Linked DNA regions of Astyanax mexicanus. The protein of the gene in region 2 interacts with the protein of the main gene of each other region in a pairwise test. Links are inferred from orthologs where the notes say so. Each region holds a gene or a part of one and is shown on either strand. Other genes may lie near its edges.

Region 1 (10,835 bases), on a different chromosome or scaffold from region 2:
ACCATCTGGTGGCCTCATGGGACCATTACATAATTGCCCAGCCAACAGCAGCAGTAAGGAGAGGTCTTAAAATAAAATGAAATAAAAGAGTTGAAATTGAATACATTTCAAATATATATATATATAAATATGAGAACTGCATGATGAGATATTCATTTAACACATATAAAAAATTTATTTAAAGACTACAAAACTAAATAAATCAGACCATGATGTCTCATTCTATAAACTCTTACTTAAAATAAAGTGATTTTACTTACATGTAAAAGCAGTATATCCACAGCACCTCTAAACTGTGCAGCAGTATTATTCACACAAACATTACACAAACACAGATTGAGGGCAAAATAGTCTGATTAACACAACCCTAATGTGAATCTGTCAGTTATTTTGTATACTGTACCCAATTTTATTATGATCAAACCAATAAAATGTGACAAAATAATCTGGAATAAGATTTTGTTTTTACATTAACTTCTATTGGTGTTTAAGGCATTTTTCTCTTTTTCTTCTCCTCAAGAGTTGCCATTTAGGGGATTCAAGGTTTTTTTTCCATTAAAGTGAGGATATACTTCATTTGAACAAAGTAACAGATCTGTACAATGTTTTAAAACTCCATGAAAAATAGACAAACAGAAATGCTCCAAAATTACTTTAAATTAAATGCTTTTGCCTTCGCCATATTGGACCTAGTGAAGGGGCTCCTAGAGTTAAACAGGCATGCCAGATAAACTTTTAGCTTTGGATTAGTAGTGATGAGCTCTCCACACGGCCCAGGCATAGCAGAGGCTTCACGCAGGTAATGGAATCCACCCCCGAAGTGAGGCTGGAAATCAATTCCCTGACAGGCACCTGCGCTCCCAAGTGAGCCTCCATGGAGCGCTATGCACTCTTCCTTCTCTTTCTCTCTTTCTCTCTCTCTCTCTCTCTCTCTCTCTCTCACACACACACACTCTTGTTCTCTCCCTTTTTTCTATAGCTCCTGATCCTCTCTTGCACCATTTCTTCTCATCCTCCTGTGTCTCATACTCGTTTATTTTTTCCCCTCCAGAGTATGATTTTCTTAATTTCACATTTCTGGGGTACAACTGTGCCTCGAGTCTTTTATTACAAACTTGTCTCTTTTTTCTTCTTCTTTTTTTAATTGGTTTTAATGCACCAGTTAAACACATTACTACCTTTTTTTTTCCTGTATCTGGGTCTGGAAATGAACTACTTTTCGCTCCACTGGCAGGCAGGGTTTTAACTTTTTTTCCCCCCAGAAGACACAGGTAGGGTAATGAATGATCAGGAGCTCTGAGAAGATAGTGAGGCACCACTTTGACCTGCTAAATCAATACAGCTGAGACCTCGCCTGAGCACAGCAGGGCTTCACTAGGAAAAGTTAATCAATTATTTAGGCAGGGTGTGCTTGTCACATAGGCTGTGTTATGGTCGTGAGAGAAAATACATTGGGGGCGTAAACAACGGGAAAATCGATTAATTAATTAAGAGATAAACTATGTAGGCTAGTCATACTATAAGACTATCTTAATAATATTGATGATATGAGATTATAAAAGATTTCACACGGCTGCTTCCGTGCGCGTTGTATTTCTTTTAAACCGCCAGTATTTGGGCAAGCCCCGCCTCCTGCGCTAGCATTGGCTGGTAGTATCTCTGCCAGGCGCTGGGATTCGCTAGTAGTTCACATCCACGAGTGAATCGATAGAGTATGAACTATGAACCAATCACAGCACAAGAGTTTAGCCAAAGGAGGGGCTTAACTGAGAAGAGGCGGGAAAAGAAGACGCTCGCCCTCGGCTCCAGCTGATCTCAGTTACGCAGTCTAATTTAAACACTAGAGAGCTTCGCACCCTCACAATAAATTTAATATTTAATATTTCAGTAAAATATTTGTATTAAGCTACAGAATAAGAAGCCTAACCACTAGAAGAGACGTTGGTTGTGGTGTGAAGGAGTGTACCGCAGCTGTTACTTTTTAGAATCTTGCCCAACATTCGTGTTCGTTTCTGAGCTCCACTGAATTAAATGGCTTTAGCGCGAAGCAGCGGCGTTACAGAGAGGATGCTAGGCTCCCTAACTAGGTTAACTAACTAACTAGCAAACTAGATATCACAGGTTAGCTAGCGAACCTAGCCCTCCTTAAGTAATGTTTCTGTCAAAAACAGATTTGTTACAAGAAATTACGTGATAAACAAGACAAGACCTAATTTTAAGAGAGACTATTATTCTGTTACTGTGCTGTTCTAAAATGATTTAACGCTCAATGACAAATTATATTTTTGGAAGGAATACTATGATGTTTGGAATGTTGAAAGCCCATGTGAATATAGGTAATCAAACGTATACAATTTAGATTTGAATCAGGTGTTTCAGAGCAAGAAATCAACCAAAACATGCAGGCATGTGTTCAACAAATGAAAAAACACTGTTTTAGTAAGTTTACAGCATGAATATTGTAAAAATATAAACAGCCAAACATTTTCTATACTTATTATGACCCATTGTACGTCTCGTTGTATTTGGCGTAGCGTATATATTCATTGTGACATTATATTAAAATGAAATACATAAAAATAAGCTACAGTGTATCAACCAAAAACTTGGTTTGTTGCTTGAAGTGTTAATAATGTCACAGAGGGTTAATAATTTAAAGACTTAACCCTCATAACCACTTAAAACGAATGTGTTGGCGTCGCTAGTAAGTTAGCTGGCTAAGGTTTGTACACATGTACTCACTCTCCAGGCGGATTTACATCCGATTTTTCACTTTTTTAGAGTATTAATCTAAAGAATACGAATCCTGCTCACTAGAAGAGGCGTTGGTTGGGGTGTGAAGGCAGTTTAACGCAGCTGTTACAATTCAGAAAGTTGCACAACGTTTGTGTTCGTTTTTGAGCTCCACTGAATTAAATGACTTGAGCGCGAGGCAACGGCGTTACGGAGAGGGTGCTATGCAACCTAACGTTAGCTAACTAGGTTAGCTAGTAACTAGCTAGATACAGATTTGGAAAAAATAAGATTCCGCCTGAAAATGATGAGTTTCTTTGATTTTACCAAACTGAAAACCTCTGGAAGATAATCAAGAGTAAGATTGATAATCACAAGCCGTCAAACCAATCTGAACTGCTTGAATTTTTGCACCAGGAGTGGCATAAAGTTATCCAAAAGCGGTGTGTAAGACTGGTGGAGAACATGCCAAGATGCATGAAAACTGTGGTTAAGAACCAGGGTTATTCCACCAAATATTGATTTCTGAACTCTTAAAACTGTATGAATCATTTGAGGTCTGAAAGCTCTGCATCTTTTTTGTTATTTCAGACATTTCTTATTTTCTGCAAATAAATGCTCTAAATGACAATATTTGGAATTTGTGAGAAATATTGTCTGTAGTTTACAGAACAAAACAACAATGTTCATTTTACACAAACATGTTACCTATAAATAGCAAAATCAGTTAAACTGATTCTCTTATTTTTTTTCCAGACGTGTAGCTAACGTTACCACACCGGTTAATTAGCTAATCTAGCTAAGTAACGTTAAACTCAGCCAAACCGCTGAAACACCTCCTCCTAACTCCTCCGCAAGTCATTTTACTGCCAGAAACAAAGTTAAACTTTAAGCGCGAGCACCAGCCAACCCTTCAACATCAGCGTACACAAACGCTAACACACTTTACACTAACACACACACACAGGCGCGAACACAAACACGCAGCTAAACAAACACTTACGTCCAGAATGACGGAGATGCCTTTCCGCGGCTCCGGGGCGAAGAACTGCTCCTGGGCCACGGCCACCTCCTCCTCCTCCTTGGCGTACTCCCGCGTCGAGATGCTTTTGTTGTCGCTCATCTTGGTGACTATCCAGCGGACGAGCCCGTCGATTCCCCCGGGCTGGGCTCCTCCGCCGCTGTTTTGGGCCGGTGCAGCCGTCGCTGTCTCGCTGTCCCGCGGCCCGCCGCCTCTGGGCTGCTCGCCGCTGTCCTGCGCGCGGAGTTTGCCTTGTTCCTTGTGGAGCAGCTTGTGGACGACGTCCCTGCAGTTGCGCGCTGCCTGCTCACACATCCTTTTGCCTCCGCGCGTTCATGCTGCGCGCTATGGGGGCCGGTCCCTCCTCCCCTCTGACATCAGCACATGCCCAAACACATACACACGCGCGCGCGCACACACACCTACCTCTCCAAGGCACGCGCACTTACTGCCCCTCTGAAGCGAGGCTTCTCTCAGTGCAGGTGCTGTTGCTGCTGCTGCTGGAGCAAACCCTGCCCTGCGCTGCCCTGCCTGCACACTTGGATGCCTGCCTGCATGACTGGTACTGAAACAGACCCGATTGCGCGGAGCAGAACTTCATTCTGATTTAGTTAAACTGGATGAAGTAGATTATGTATATAGTTCTCAGGGATCTAGCTAGACTCTGAAGCACACGGTTGATCTGCTGTAAGCTGTAAGTCAGACACTGGCAGACTTAAGGGGGTGGGCCAGAGGGGCAACTGCCCCCCTAGGTGTTCCCAGTGGTTCGCTAAAGTGGCCAAAAAGTGTCTGCTAGGGTGCCCCCAAAAAGAAGTTCTCTAGATCAAGAAATTTTCAAGTGTCTCAATGAGAACCCATCTTTGAGTGCCGTTATGAAGCACCTTCACTCCCACATCTGCTGCACAGCGTCCCAAAGGATGCTTTTTTTCCCAGCAGAGAAAATGAGATGCAGTGCTGTATTAGGTTCTCCTATAGGTGAAAAATGATGAAGTACCTGGTTAGGTGCTCCTGTCACAACAACGTGTCCCACCAGTGGATGAAATGGATTTGTATTGGAGTTGAATTACTAACCCAAAACAAAAAAGTAGGGACAGTGTTTATGTTCTGTCTGGTCAACTTTGTATAATTTCTTCTTCATATACATCAATTCCTTGATTATAAATTATAAATGTGTTCGGTTGGGTAAACTGGAACCTACAGGGTTTGCTTCACCATACCAGCTGTTAAATACAGACAATGACACACAAAGTTCTGTTTGACAAGATCTCTTTTGGTCATATGTTTTTTATGATCCTGTACTTGTTTACTGTAGCAGTAATAAAATCTCCAAACTATAATTTGATACTGATTTCATCAAGCCATATGTGAAGCTTTTGTGTAGCTTTTTATTCATACCAAGTACCAGCAGCAGTAAAAGTATATTTAATCAGCCTGAACTCGACTTTGAGTAACACACTGTAATCATTTGTGAAAACAAGTTTGTCCAGTGCCGCTGCATTTGCTGTATAAGCAAATTTCCAAAGAGTCTAATGAGTGTGTCTCCAGGGACACATCCGTGACCTGAACATTAGCCTCACAGCCCACAGTGTGAGCAGGAATGCAACAATGGGCAGCTGAATAATGGAGGAGTAATTGTCTCTGGAGAACCTATGGTCTTATCTGCCGAGACAAAATTGTATCTGCAGATATGTAAAAAATGAAGTAGACAAAAAGTAGATATCTCAGAGATAAGCAAAAAGGTAAAATGCACATTTACATATAACTAACTAAATCATGCTGATCAGGTTTTAGTGTATCACTGCCCTATACAAAATGACACCTTTTTTTTTTGTTTACAGAATAAAAATTTTTCACATGTGATTTAGAATGTATTCTAACCCACGGTTGAACATGCTCCTAATTCAATGTAAGCAGCAACATTCTGTACCAGTCCACAGGCTGACAAGTTTCAACCAAGGTCTATCCTGGAGACATTGCAGACCCCTAGCAGGCTGCATCAATATTACACAACCTTGTCAGAAGTTATTTTGGTCCAGGAAACAACCTTAATGGCATGAAGTAGAGACAGTAATAGAAGAAATGCTGGTGGTAGTAGGTGACACTCTCGCTTTGAACATTTTTCAAAAGATGTGATGGAGAACGGGGACAGGCATTAACAGATTATACTCTTCCTCAGTGGTGAGCAGCCATTGAGTAGATTATTATCTAGAATATTTTTTCTTTTAATAAAATACAGCAAACTGTGTTTGTGCAATAAAACTTGCATCTTTTCTTTTGGCTCCTGGTACCATACTAGGTTCATTTGCCCCTATCAGGCATCATCAGTGTGTAGTCATTCCCCCTTTAATGTGTACTAATCTTTTTTGGGAGTGTTGGCCTTGTTTTTGTAATGTATTTAATATTTAGAAATGTTAGACAGACTTTATTTTGTTACTTTTAGTTTATAATAGCTGTTAAATTTAGGTAATATTTACCTTCACATCAAAAGAAGATAGAAAATAGTATAAAGAAGCAAGAAAAACACATCTCTTGTAAATTTCAGCACAGAGGTTGTCACCTCCAGTCCTGGAGACCCACTGACCTGCACAGTTTCAGATACTCTCTGCCACAATCACTACTGACCAACCCCATGAAGGGCTTGATAATTAGATGATGAGCTGCATCAGGCATGCTGGGTGCAGGAAATCATTTAAACCAGTGGTCTCACCCTGCCTCTTCCCTTGCATCACACTGCATCCGATCCACTCATGCTATTAATGGTTCTAAAAAGAGTATAGAAGCACACATTTGGTTTCAGAAAAAAAACACATTTTTAATCTTACTTAAACCAGAAGTGGTTCTACTGTGGAATTGTTCACTAACATTTGTAGCAGCGTTATTTCCAAGAGGGCAGCTGGTCAAGTACTATGTGTAATGCACCTACAAAATGTAGAAGCACTGAAAAACATTAAAAGAACTTAGTTAGCAGCAAAGCATGTTATGTTAACCATGTTCAGAAGCAGGATCAACTCCTCTGGGTTCAAAAACATCTGGGATGGACCATCACACTGTGGAAACACGTATTTAATCAGACAAATCAATATTCCAGGTCAACTCTGTGAGCTTCAAACCAAAGCCAAGAAGGACCATGCATTTTCCAGGGACCTTCATGCATTTTTCAACTAGACAATGAAAAGCTACCAGGTGATGCTTCTGAGGAAGAGGGCATTGGTACTGGACTGGCCTGTCTCAGTCCTCACCTGTCCCTAACAGAGAAAGTGTGGAGACTTTTGAAGCACAAAATGAGAAAACAATACTGTACTGTTGCACACCTTAAGACATGTTTCCAAGAAAAATAGGACAAAATTTAGATTAGATTAGATTTAGAAATACTCTTCTTGTAAGTGAGAAGACATTACAACATTACCAAGTACTACAGGTCTGAATGCAGGAATGGATGTATGCTAAAAAAATAAATATCCTAGGTTCATAGTGTCAAAGTAAATAAAAACACATTTTTAGAGAAACATTTTTTATAAGTTTCCAACATTTTCTGATTAGGTGTTGTAAGATCTTCAGAACCAGGGTTAGTGATCACTGTTAAAACTATACATGGTTGGATTTTGAGGACTGTAGTTGTTTTATATAGGGTTGTTCTGTAGTTGCTCTCAATGTTTTTCCTTGATTGAAGCTTAAAGCAAAACCTTCCTGAGGTGATCTGGGTGTGTTTTATTTTGGAAAACACCTCACCATGCAGAGCAGTGGTACTTTAGGACCAAAATTCAGAACTACTGGGCTCCATGCACCATGTGAAGAGTTAAATTGCAAAAACAGTTATGTTTAAAAGAATAGCTTTGTTTTTGCCAATAAGCTCTTCATAATAATAAGTCTCTGCAGTGTAATACAATTGAGAGTAGACATTCTGTTGTCAAATCTGAGTCATAACAAATCTGAGATTTCCTCTGTGAGATCTTCATGCAGAGGAAACCTGGTACTTCCGCTGTTTCAGGAGGGGTGCTTTCTCACTTGCTTTCTCACTCCTGCGACACCCTCATTACCTTCGTGCCTCTATAAAGGCCTCAGATGACCTTTGCCAGTTGAAAGGGTGTTGAAAGGCTCCCCCAGTCCTGCCCTTTGCCAGAGGTGATTAAGTCCTCCCTGCTAAAAGGCCCCTTCATTTAATTGGTGCACAGAACAAGCCCCCCCATACACACAGTTTGTGGTCCTATAGTGAGGCATTTAGCCCGACAACAACGCAGTGCTGAAAATATGTCCCTGTAATGTACGGGGGAAACGGAAGCAAAAGCTTTTTAATGCTTTTTCTCCCCAAGCTGAGCTCGGGTAATTATGACAAGCCGTAATCTCTTGTCTTTGGCGGCGCCTGGGACGCCACCCCTGCTGTCTCAGTGCGGCTGTTACAGGCCGTTTCCCATCTCTTCTCAGAAGCGTGCGCAGTGGTGCGCTGCAGTGCCCCTACAGAGCTTAGAAGGCACTAAGCAGGTGGGCGGCTGCACTGGTTACTGCAGCTGTAGCCTGATCAGAATCTTGCAGGAGTGATCAGCGAGAGGAGGGCAACTTCTTAAAGATACTAAATAATAATAAAAAAACATTTTAAACATCTGCAGGTTTTTTGTAGTGGAGTAAAGGCATACTAAGCTAAGAATGAAGTCACACACCGTCTGTCTCTGTTCTTGCTGTCCATAACCAGTCTAGTCCCAACCTATGGAACCTTTGGCCGTGTCCAAGAGACAAGAAGTCGTGGAAGTCGTCTGACAATATGTTCTTTTTTTTTTTTTTATTTAGATGCCTCCTCTGCTCCTACTGCCTCTTGTACATTCATGTAGTCTCAGTAGAAAACACAATTCAGGAACCTTATTTTGGTCACAGTCAAGCATTTAATTAAAGGTAAAATATAAAATAAAAATTGCATTCTAATACAATCAATTTTTTCTTTACATCTACAACCAAACATATACAACCATATACAGGAAAAAAGAGACCACTTAAAAATTATAAGCTTCTTTAAATTTTACTAAATTGAAAACCTCTGGAATATAATCAGGAGGAAGATGGATGATCACAAGCCATCAAACCAAACTGAACTCCCTGGATTTTTGCACCAGGAGAAGAATAAAGTTATCCAAAAGCAGTGTGTAAGACTGGTGGAGGAGAACATGCCAAGATGCATGAAAACTGTGATCAAAAACTTTGCATTATTTGAGGTCTGAAAGCTCTGCATCTTTTTTGTTATTTCAGCCATTTCTCATTTTCTGCAAATAAATGCTCTAAATGACAATATTTTTATTTGGATTTTGGGAGGAATGTTGTCCATGGTTTATAGAATAAAACAACAATGTTTATTTTACTAAAACATAAACCTATAAATAGCAAAATTACAGAAACTGATTCATAAACTGAAGTGGTCACTTATTTTTTCCAGAGCAGTATGTTATTTTACATAAACATAAAAAAAAAAAACATTAAAATGTCTTGTCATTCTCTGTTTTTTATTACCTCCCAAGTAAACCACATGAACATGACCCATGAACAAGTCAGGGAAACGAGTGTCACCTTAGAGAAACGTACCATCTAAGATGCACTTGAAAGCACAGTAAGCTCCATGCTGAAGTTGCCGGCTTTCCTTTGATGGCTCAGTCAGAGAGAGACATTTTGCCTTGATTACTCTGAAAATGGCTAATGAGTGTTGGGGACGCATATAAAGAGTATTTAGATTCATCTCAGTCTGACACAGCCTGCTCTGTTAATGCCAAAAAGGTATTAAAGGTTTCCCTCCATTAAAATCCACTTTTTCTAGTTCTTTGTGAAATACTATGGGTACTTGGTTAATGACAAAGAGGGTATTAAGAATGACAAGTCCATTTCAACAATTAGGTCTTTTTATTATTATATTTTATTATTGAACTTTACCTGTAAGAGCTTGTAGCAGATATGATGCATGTTCTACACAGTGGTGTACAGGACTAGTGCTGTACTGTACTGTACTGTATCATAAGCAGTTCAACATTATCATATTGTCAGCTGACCCGCTTAATGGCCGGGGCTCAAGAGGGTGTTTGGAGATGAGGGTGCAGGGAACAAATTGCAGCAAAATTGAGAGCCAATTTAAACTGTGCTCCTAAGAGGACTATTGCTTAATGTCAGGCTGCCCTTGCTTGGGCTGTGCTCGCCCACTCTCTCATTAAAAGCTCTCTTACAGTCCATGAAGTGTCTCGCCAGACTGCGGCAAAAAAAAAAAAAAGAAATTGGAAAAATATTAGATTCACATGCACTAAAAACCTGAGCCATTTTATAACAAGCACTCACTCACAGAAATGTATTATGTGAACACAGACATTCAAATGTCTCTTAAAAGAGTGGAGAGCATCTACTGTTCCATGTAATAATGTAATGTTAGAGGTGTTGCAAAAGGGCAGCAAGTGCACCTCCTGGTGGAGGTCAGAAGAAATCAAGGACTGGCCTTGCAGCTTTTACAGCTACACTTTAAAGTGACTTTACAGAACACATACACAAAGCTGTTTATACAAATGGACATAAATTCTACTTTCTAAGGCATATTTATTTATTTTGTACACCTAGTATGTAACCTTAAATGTATTTCTCCAGAACTGGTTAAACTGATTTACTGCATTATGCAGTGCAGCAGAACATGGCACCCAATCATTACTTCTCTCTCTGAGGCTGCTCAGGGCAGATGCCCTTGAGGTAGTACACCCAGAAGATGGCCTGTCCATGTCCGTCTGTCCGTGGACTGGAGATGGTCAGCTTTCCTGTGCACAGGGTCTTGGAGCCTTCCGGAGGGCCCTCAAAGCTCACCACAATGTTGTGCGTCTTTTTAGATGGGATGGTGTCCGCTCCCTTGACAGTAAAGGCTGGGTTGTTTACCTGAAAGGAGAAGGCAGCAGCCTGTGGAAAGACGTTCTTAAAGGGAATAGTGACGTGGGAGCCAGCGTAGATGGTCAGGGGACCCTGAGGTTTGGGAGGAGTGCAGGTGCCGTAGAGGGGGAACAGATAGTCCCCTCCGAGGCTGGATGAAACTGTGAGCAAGCCTCGAACTTCACCCAGCTGACTGGGCTCAAAGTGA
Region 2 (10,151 bases):
AAAATGTCACCAAATCTGCTGGGTCAAAAATATACATACAGCAACAAAATTTGTCAATTTTGGTGATGTAGCGAGTTGTGTCAATCAAATTAGCTTCATGTCATGGCCTCTTCACTTCTTGTAAGTGATTCTGATTGACTACAGCTGTTGACTTCTCATGAGCCCATTTAAATAGGGCTCATTTGACCCAGTGATTAGACTCAGCTACAAAAGCTACAATGGGAAAGTCAAAGGAACTCAGTGTGGATCTGAAAAAGCGAATTATTGACTTGAACAAGTCAGGGAAGTCACTTGGAGCCATTTCAAAGCAGCTACAGGTCCCAAGAGCAACTGTGCAGACAATTATACGCAAGTATAAAGTGCATGGAACAGTTGTGTCACTGCCACGATCAGGAAGAAAACGCAAGCTATCACATGCTGCCGAGAGGAGATTGGTCAGGATGGTCAAGAGTCAACCAAGAATCACCAAGAAGCAGGTCTGCAAGGATTTGGAAGCTGATGGAACACAGGTGTCAGTCTCCACAGTCAAGCGTGTTTTACATCGCCATGGACTGAGAGGCTGCCGTGCAAGAAAGAAGCCCTTGCTCCAGAAAAGGCACCTTAAGACTCGGCTGAAGTTTGCTGCTGATCACATGGACAAAGATAAAACCTTCTGGAGGAAAGTTCTCTGGTCAGACGAAACAAAAATTGAGCTGTTTGGCCACAACACCCAGCAATATGTTTGGAGGAGAAAAGGTGAGGCCTTTAATCCCAGGAACACCATGCCTACTGTCAAGCATGGTGGTGGTAGTATTATGCTCTGGGGATGTTTTGCTGCCAGTGGAACTGGTTCTTTGCAGAAAGTAAATGGGATAATGAAGAAGGAGGATTACCTCCAAATTCTGCAGGAAAACTTAAAACCATCAGCCCGAAGGTTGGGTCTTGGGCGCAGTTGGGTGTTCCAACAAGACAATGACCCAAAACACACATCAAAAGTGGTAAAGGAATGGCTAAACCAGGCTAGAATTAAGGTTTTAGAATGGCCTTCCCAAAGTCCTGACTTAAACCCCATTGAGAACATGTGGACAGTGCTAAAGAAACGGGTTCATGCAAGAAAACCATCACATTTAGCTGAACTGCACCAATTCTGTCAAGAAGAGTGGTCAAACATTCGACCTGAAGCTTGCCAGGAGCTTGTGGATGGCTACCAAAAGCGCCTAGTTGCCGTGAAAATGGCCAAGGGACATGTAACCAAATACTAATGTTGCTGTATGTATATTTTTGACCCAGCAGATTTGGTGACATTTTCAGCAGACCCATAATAAATTTATGAAAGAACCAAATTTTATGACTGTTTTTTGTGACAAACATGTATGTGTTCCGATCACTCTATCACAGAAAAATAAGAGTTGTAGAACTTATTGAAAACTCAAGACAGCCATAACATTATGTTTTTTTACAAGTGTATGTAAACTTTTGACCACAACTGTATATGTACGCCTATCAAAACTAATACAGAAGGGCTTATTTAACAGAACAGTATTGGCCAATTTTAAAAAATTGTCCTTTCACCTAGAAACTCTAAATGCTCCCAATGATATAATCCCCATGAGAAAACCAGGCTTATTTTTAGTTCTGGAAAGAACAAAAGAAGAGCTTTTGCCAGAAGAAGAATTTGAGCTGAAGGGGTTTCCAGGCACTCCGGAGTAATCCCTCACCTTTAAACCACGCCCCAGGCTTAAACAGGGCCTTCTTCAGGGAGCCGTACAGGTGAAAGTTCAGCCGCTTGTACTCTGCGATGTCGTCCCGGATCCGCGGCAGCAGCACTAGGTTGTAGAAGCGTTGGGCCATTCGCTCTTTTAGATTAGCGGAGAAGATCCTGCACCAGAACCAGCAGCAAAGACAAAGGAGGAATGCATACAAATAAAAGAGAAAAAAAAATGAGAGCACTTAAAATATTTAGTTTCTTTGATTTTACCAATTATAATCAAGAGGAAGATGGACGATCACAAGCCATCAAACCAAGCTGAACTGCTTGAATTTTTGCATATCTGCCTCTGCAGCATCCTGGGGTGCGTTATCTTGTTTCTCAGTGAGCATATATGTATATGAAATTGTGAACCAGGCTGCTTCTAAATTAACTCACCGTGTGGCCTGGTACATGGCGGCAGCCGTCCACTTCTCCGGATCTGTGAGGTAAAGCACCTGCTCCCAGTTTGAGAGCGCTGGGATGATTTTAAAGGCTTTGGGCAGCTTCCCACTGCGATACCTACAAAGAACCTGAAACAAAAGAACAAATATCGATCATAGATAAATCAGTGATCAAAATAAACTGAAATACAGCATGTTTTAGAGCTGCACAAAATATCATTTTATATACAAGCTCATTAAATCACACCATAGTACATGCAATTTTCCTAAAAGCTTTTCGCTGCTTGATACAAAGAAAAATCAAATTTTACGTGACTATATCCACTATATTAACAATTACATCTACCCAATACCATTTTTTGACTCCAATCACTGATACACATATTGTACTATTAATATTATGGCATTTTAGATTATTGACTTAATTCACTGACACTGAAATTTGGATAAAATTCCTGATACTCATTGCAACAAATATTGTACAACAAAATTTCACAATGTCAGGTTTTTACCCCCATATCATGCAGACCTAGTATGTATTACAAGAGTAATAAACTTAATTAATTTATCCTGAAGCTCATAAAAAAAAATCTCTAGTAAAGTGGCCAGATAGAAGCAGCACAAGGTAGGTGTGTCTAATAAAGTGGAAAATAGGTGTTTCTGATTAAGTGGTCAATGAGAGAAAGCACAAAAAAGGGGTTGCCAATAAAGTGGCAAAAGAATGTAGGCACAAAACTGGGGTTTCTAATAAAATGGCCAATGAGTGGAGGCACAAAAGTAGGTGTTTCTAATAAATTGGCCAGTAGGTGGATGCAAAAGGTAGGTGTTGCTCAGTCTCACCTTACTGACTCCTCTGTACACTTCAATCACCCTGGGGTCCAGCTGTGGATTGGGCATCCCCGACACCTCCGACATCACAGTGCCCACCTCCGTCTGCTTCTCTGTTAACTTCTCCATGATTATATCGGCTAGAGTGCGCCTTTACAAAAAAAAAATAAATACATTAAAAATAATTTTTACTATAAACATTGATATTTCTCTTTAAAATGAAGTTTGTGAACATGTTCAAACAAATATATACCAGCAAAATACAGTCCTATATTTAAACAAATCCAAATACATAAAGTAAAAATAAGATCAATTCAAATCAAATAGTTTTGCATATGTACAGGACTTTTAGAGGATTGAAATTACGTTACTCTCCTTCCCAAAAATTACAGCAAGATAAAAAAATATATAAATATAAAAATGAAAGACACTAAACGTACAATACGACATGGACACAGAGAGACATACACGAGACAAGAGACACAAGACAATAGTGCAATAGTGATGGGGGGATTAAAAGGAAATGACAGCACTGTGTTGTAAACAGAACAGAACCTGTATAAACATCAGTGCAAATAAAAGTGCACTAAATACTTTCACTAAACATTATGTTATTTATCTTTCAAGTGAATATGTTTGGAAAAATATATATACCAGCACAGTGCCATGTTGAAAAAAAAGTTAAATACATTAAGTAAAAATAAGATAAACTAATAATATGTTTAATTAGAGAGAATGATTTTTGTTGTGCTTGTTGCAACAATATATTTGCATGGAAACAACCAAAAAGTATGATGTTTTTTCCAACATCCATAAGGATACGCGTGCCTATGCTTTATATTGTGTGGTGTGGCATAGGGATGGGACTAAATATTGATCAGAGATATAATTGCATCTTTTTTGTTTGCAACTACTTGAATTTCTTGTCTCTTAATGTGTTTGAGAGCATCAGTTGTAAAGTAGTGAAGAGGTAGAGTTACAGGTATACAGTGAATAACTCTATTTGAGTACTGTTCTAATCCAGATTATGAGAAGCAAGAAATACTCAACTAAGTAAAAAGAAAAAATACTTTATGACTAAGAAATTAAGTCAATCTAAAAAATTTCAAGAACTTTGAAAGTATCCTTTAGCGCAGCCGCACATCAAAGCGATATGATGAAACTAGTACTCAACAGGACTGCCCCAGGAAAGAAAGAGCAAGAGTACATTATTAATAAGAAGAGCCACACTGCCCTATAGTGGAGCAGCCACCTTGCACTGTTACCCTTGTTGTCCAGGTGTTCTTTACCTCACTGGTGGGTTTTTGTTCATGAACATCTGTATGGCTTTTTCATCATCCGGATCCACCTCCACCTCAGCAACCGCCCCCACCTCATGATCCTCTGTTCCCATGGCACCCAGCTCTGGCCATTCCTCATCAGAGTCTCCATCCTGAGTATGTGGACCTGCAAACAACACATACTGTTAATAATGATAACAGCAATCTATAATGATTTCAATAACATAAAATAATCAGATTTATAACTTTACAACTAGGGCCATATCATATCACAGGCAATAATATTGCCAACATTTTCAAATACAGTTAACGATATTATACCCTGAAATATTGTACCATATCACTCACCACTAATTATCACATTAGGGTACTACTTTTTTTTTTTGCTGTTTTTAGCAAAAGAAAAATTCACACTGTTCTCATTTTACATTATATATCTACTAGAATCACTTGAAGACGGCAAGAAATTAAAGTTATTTTCCAAGATGTGTAGAGCTGTCATCAAAGCAAGAGGAGATACTTTGAAGAATGTAAAATATATAAAACATATTCTGGTTTGTTTAACACTTTTGTGTTTTTCTGCACAGTTTGGAAGACTTTATTATTAAATTACATTGGGGAACATTTTTGAAATAATGAAAAGAAAAAAATAACACTGAATTTAAGGTGACCACAACAGAGCACTTAGCTTGTGTGGTGGGTGGTTACTCGCAGTAATAGCACTGATTAGCATGGTGGTGGTGTATGAGGTGTTAGTGTGTGCTGAGCTGGTACAGTAAGTTGATCAGATACAGTAGTGCTGCTGATGGTTTTAAACACCGTGTTTAATCTCTCACTATCCTCCACTCTATTACACACTCCTACCTACAGCTGATTAGGGCTGCAACGATTAGTCAATATCATTGACAATGACGATTTTTAAAAATTTGTCGGCTCCAAATTTTCGATGTCGACTAATCGTCAATTAGTAGCACTACACAAATTACTGGGGACAAACACAATGTTAGAAGGGTAACTGGGTCTCCAAAAGAGCCCAATCACAACAGATTTCACATTTCCTCACTAAAGATCAGCACCTTCCATATTCAAAAGACAATGTTCTGGATATGTAAAGGGCATTTAAATCCCATGTTTAGCTGTTTTCTATCGTTTTGAACCAATAGTGAAAGCTAGAAACAGAAGCTCTACCAACAGCAAGCAGAGGGGAAGGCAGAAATAATCATTGACTAATCGAATAATCTGAAAAATATTCAGAAGATTAGTTAAATATTAAAATAATCATTAGTTGCAGCCCTACAGCTGCTCCACCTTACAGATAATGTAAAATTAGAGACAAAATATCTGAATTTGTTGCTGCACAGTTTATTTTTTTGTTATTCTTAATCCAGCAGTGACACTGAGGTGTTTAAAAACTCAAGCAGCACTGCTGTCTCTGGTGGTGGTCTATCATGTGATAATATTAATGTATACACGTTTATTTAACTTGCCCAGAACAGTAGAAGGTTTCTTCTTGGCCTCTGGTGTGACTCCGAACTCAGTCTGCAGCTCTTCTTGCTGAATCCGAGCCTGCTCCAGAATCCTCCTGGAGAGCTTCTCGTCCACATAGTCCTCCTCCTCCTGTTTTCTGCCCCGGTTTTTGACCCGGCTGTTGGTTCTGATGGTGTCGGACTGAAGCAGCTGATCGGCCAGGGCTACAGAACCTCCGGCCCGGTCCGGTCCACCACCTTTATCCCTCTTTACCTTCGGCATGGCGACAGACTGCTCAGATATAAATGGAGTTTTAAGTTCTACCAAAACCCTCTGTCGCACACACGTGGGTTTCCCTCAACGCTAATGGAGGTGAGGTAACGCAGGGGGTGCTCTGCCGAAAACTGACAACGCCGAAAACTGCACCCGTAGGACCCTTCGGTGGCTGGTTAGATGTGCCTGATGTAAAAGCGATTTTTTTTTTTTACAAATCTTAATTCTTTTGGTAACATATAGGGTCTCATGCTGTATTAAAATGAAATTTACACAGCTTTATTAGCTAACCACATCAATCATTTTATTTACTACATAACGTGCATTTATAATTTTTTTCTTTTAAATAGTTAATACATAATGTATGTTTTTTTTTTTTTTTACTATATTAATATTATATAATTTTTTTCAGTTTTTGATCACTTTTATACCATTTAAGTCATAATTATATTTTGTACTATTTAAGGACAGGCTGAGATTTATTATTATTATTTTTTTTCAAATTAATAATTTTAATAATAATTTTAGTGTGCAATTTTAGTTTGTTGTATATATTAATGCGTGTATAAAATTGACATTAGACGACTTTAGAATGACATATACACAATTATATTACATAAATGATTTTATTTGCTACATAGCGTGCATTTAGATATTTTTCTCTTTTTAATAATGTATTTATTATTATTTCCATTTTTACAGACCAATTGTTAGTCGTTAACTATTTTTTTTATAATATACATGTTTTTTTTTCGAGGAAAGACTAAAAAGATCATATTCGCCAATACAAATATTAGATTAAAAACTAAACAGAATTATATGTTTTCTTGATCATGTATATTTACATTTACAAAAGTATCTTGTCTTTCCTTTTTGTTTTATGTTGTGTTAATGTTTGTCTTTATAAAATGTTAATAAACTTTTCCAAAAAAAGGTCATTCTAATCAGGCGGTGTGACCGGAAACCAGTGAGTGCAGATTGAGTTGGAATACAGATTAGTATGCAGCACCTCCTTTTAAATATCGACGTTTATTTAATTTCTCCAGGTAATAATAGTTTTAATGTGCGAAAACATTTTGTTGTATATATTGATGCATGTATATGAAATTTAAAATTGTAAAAGTTGACATTAGACGACTTTAGAAAGACTTTTATTTTGTCAGTATCCGGATGAAGTCTGGCTGGGTGTTTTGAAGCTGTTGTGGCCGCGCTGTGCAGAGATGGGAGTTACCTGGTAAGAAGAATAAATGAATAAAAGAGTTCAGTTTGGCGATTTTTACTGGTTTCCCGAGATATAAAGAGTATTAATATATTTGTAACTGACATGTGGAGATTTTCTGTAGATCAGGGTTTTTCTCTTTATGCTGCCTTTGTGATCTAAACCAAAAACTGCTGTTCATGAACCAATATTTGGTGGAATAACCCTGTTTTTAATCACAGTTTTCATGCATCTTGGCATCATGTTCTCCTCCACCAGTCTTACACACTGCTTTTGGATAACTTTTTGCCTTTACTCCTGGTGCGAAAATTCAAGCAAGTTCAGTTTGGTGGTTTGATGGTTTGTGATCATCCATCTTCCTCTTGATTATATTCCAGAGGTTTTCAATTTGCTAAAATCAAAGAAAATCATCATCATAAAGTGGTCTCTTATTTTTTACAGAACTGTGTATATTTTTGAAATTACTAAAATATATATATTACATTACATTACATTTGGCAGACGCTTTTGTCCAAAGCGACTTACAATAGTCAAGTACAATGTAAAATAAGTTTCAAGGTAAAACATCTTTGGATAGGGATAAAAGGAGGACACAGGGGAATAATAGGATAGAGGAGTGAAGGAGAGGAAGAAGGAAATGAGGTTAGAAGTAGTTAGTGTGTTAGAGGTGTTAAGAGAGTAAGTGCTCTTTGAAGAGCTCTGTCTTCAGGAGTTTATTAAAGATAGTGAGAGATTCTCCTGATCTGGTAGTGGAAGGTAGTTAGTTAGAGGTGTTAGGAGAGTAAGTGCTCTTTGAAGAGCTCTGTCTTCAGGAGTTTCTTAAAGATAGCGAGAGATTCTCCTGATCTGGTAGTGGAAGGTAGTTTGTTCCACCATTGGGGAACTCTGTATGAGAACAGTCTGGATTGCTTTGTGTGAGTTTTTGGCAAAGCGAGGCGACGTTCACTGGAGGAGCGCAGCGGCCGGGAGGTAGCGTAAGCCTTCAGGAGCGAGTGCAGGTAGGAAGGAGCCTGTTCTGTCACCGCCTTGTAGGCGATTGTAAGAGCTTTGAATTTGATGCGAGCATCAACTGGTAGCCAATGGAGCTCAATGAGCAGCGGGGTGACATGTGCCCGTTTTGGCTGGTTGAAGACCAGACGTGCTGCTGCGTTCTGGATCATCTGGAGATATATATCATCTGGATCATCTGGAGATATATATATATATATATATATATATATATATATATATATATATATATATATATATATATATATATATATATATATATATATATATATATACTCCCCTACTTAAATAAATACACCCCTACTTAAAATGCACTGAAATAAGTAAGTTTAACTAGTTCCCTAGTGTCCCTGATTATTTCTCAGCTTTTTAATTATGTAATAAGTAGTGTGCAATAGAGCAGGACTACTTTTTATACTTTGTACAGTAGCATACCTGTATTCCAGTGTGTGTGTGTGTATGCGCTGTAGTGTGTGTCAGGTGCCGGTGGCGGAGGGGAAGAGTGTGCAGCAGACGGTGGATCAGCTGCATAAGAAGCTGGAGCAGCTGGGAGGAGTGAAGCAGGGCAGCTTCTTTGTGGACTGTGAGACGTATCACACCACAGGGAACGCCAGCGGTAAATACACTGTATATAAAATACCACCATAAACATAAAAAGTACTAACCCTTTGTTGAATAGCCTACCTCCACTCTCCCATAGCTTTCTGAGATACATTAATTTTGTGCTTTTTGCCCAGCACTCTTCACAACGGCTGCTTTGGGGCATCCACTTACCGACTGGTAATTTGCTTTTAACACCGTTATCCAGCTCAAAGTAGCTCCACATCTCATTGCTAGAATCTGAAGAGCTCTAACGTTTAAAACAAGGCATTAAGAGCTTTAAAAATGCACAAGAATCTTGTTAAAAACCTAAGCCCGAAGCTTCCTGTGCACTTTTTAAATTTCTAAATGCCTCGTTTTAAATGTCAGGGCTCTCCGGAGTCTAACAATGAGGTGTGGAGCTACTTTGAGCTGGATAACGGTGTAAAACTTATTTATCTGCAGGGGCAATGGATGCCCTGAAGCGCACGTTATAAAGAGTGCTGGGAAAAAGCACAAAATTACTGGATCAAGGAAAGCTGCAGGAGAGCGGAGGTGGCCTATTCAACTAAGGTTAGTACTCTTTATCATGTTTTACTACACTAAAACTAAATGTTACCTCAATTTGACCAAGATTGAGGTTAAATCCCTTCAGTCTTCAGTGCCATGCGGCACTTTAGGGGCCGTAGGAAAAATACCGGGCAAAATGAGTAAGAAATAACTCTATTTAACTTTCACAAAATGTGACCTTGTGATACAAAATCAGTGGCAAAATATGTGTACATTTTTTCGTATTTTACCATTGATTTGACAACGAGGCCACATTTTGAGTAAAGTTAAAGGAGAAATCTGGTTTGAAATGGACTTGGGGTGAAGTGAAACATGATGTTCACATTTCACACTTAACATTTAAATAGAGTTATTCACTGCTCATTTTGTCCAGTATTTCCCTTTTCCCTTCTACTGCACTTAGTAAAATAAAAAAGTGAATTTCAGTAAAGATTGTTAAATGAAAAAGGAAAGACTAAGGCTTTAGCTTGTTGTTTTTCATCATTTGAAGAGCCCCTGCTTACAGGCAAATAATGATATATGTAACACATAATTATATATATAACGTGTGTGTGTGTGTATGTGTGTGTATGTGTGTGTATGTGTGTGTATGTGTGTGTGTGTGTGTGTTAGGTCAGCCCTCTAAGCTGCTGTATGTGATGCATAACTCGGAGACTCCGCTGAGCTGCCTGGCTCTGTACGAGGGGGGGCCGTACCTGACTGCAGATGCTAATTTCGACGTCCTGATGGTGAAGCTGAAGAGCCACTTCCAGAACGCTAAAGGTCACAAGGTCGAGAGCCGCGGTGCACGCTACCGA

What was found.
Region 1: the proteins of bysl (region 2) and necab2 interact in binary tests that used the Homo sapiens proteins (3 or more experiments, as listed by UniProt). The two-hybrid records come from large-scale screens. The link is inferred for Astyanax mexicanus from reciprocal best matches to the Homo sapiens genes BYSL and NECAB2.

Annotation. Positions count from the first base shown.
Region 1 is NC_064416.1:25,387,457-25,398,291, reverse strand, and holds the start of necab2 (N-terminal EF-hand calcium-binding protein 2), read right to left. Parts: upstream 4,175-10,835; 5' UTR 4,070-4,174; coding exon 3,737-4,069; intron 1-3,736. Other genes in the region: hydin (hydrocephalus-inducing protein homolog), read right to left, coding at 10,415-10,835. UniProt on the Homo sapiens protein: May act as a signaling scaffold protein that senses intracellular calcium.
Region 2 is NC_064431.1:31,839,731-31,849,881, forward strand, and holds the start of bysl (bystin), read right to left. Parts: upstream 6,103-10,151; 5' UTR 5,988-6,102; coding exon 5,726-5,987; intron 4,405-5,725; coding exon 4,248-4,404; intron 3,110-4,247; coding exon 2,971-3,109; intron 2,260-2,970; coding exon 2,126-2,259; intron 1,859-2,125; coding exon 1,698-1,858; intron 1-1,697. Other genes in the region: med20 (mediator of RNA polymerase II transcription subunit 20), read left to right, coding at 7,199-7,212, 8,676-8,821, 9,967-10,151. UniProt on the Homo sapiens protein: Required for processing of 20S pre-rRNA precursor and biogenesis of 40S ribosomal subunits. May be required for trophinin-dependent regulation of cell adhesion during implantation of human embryos.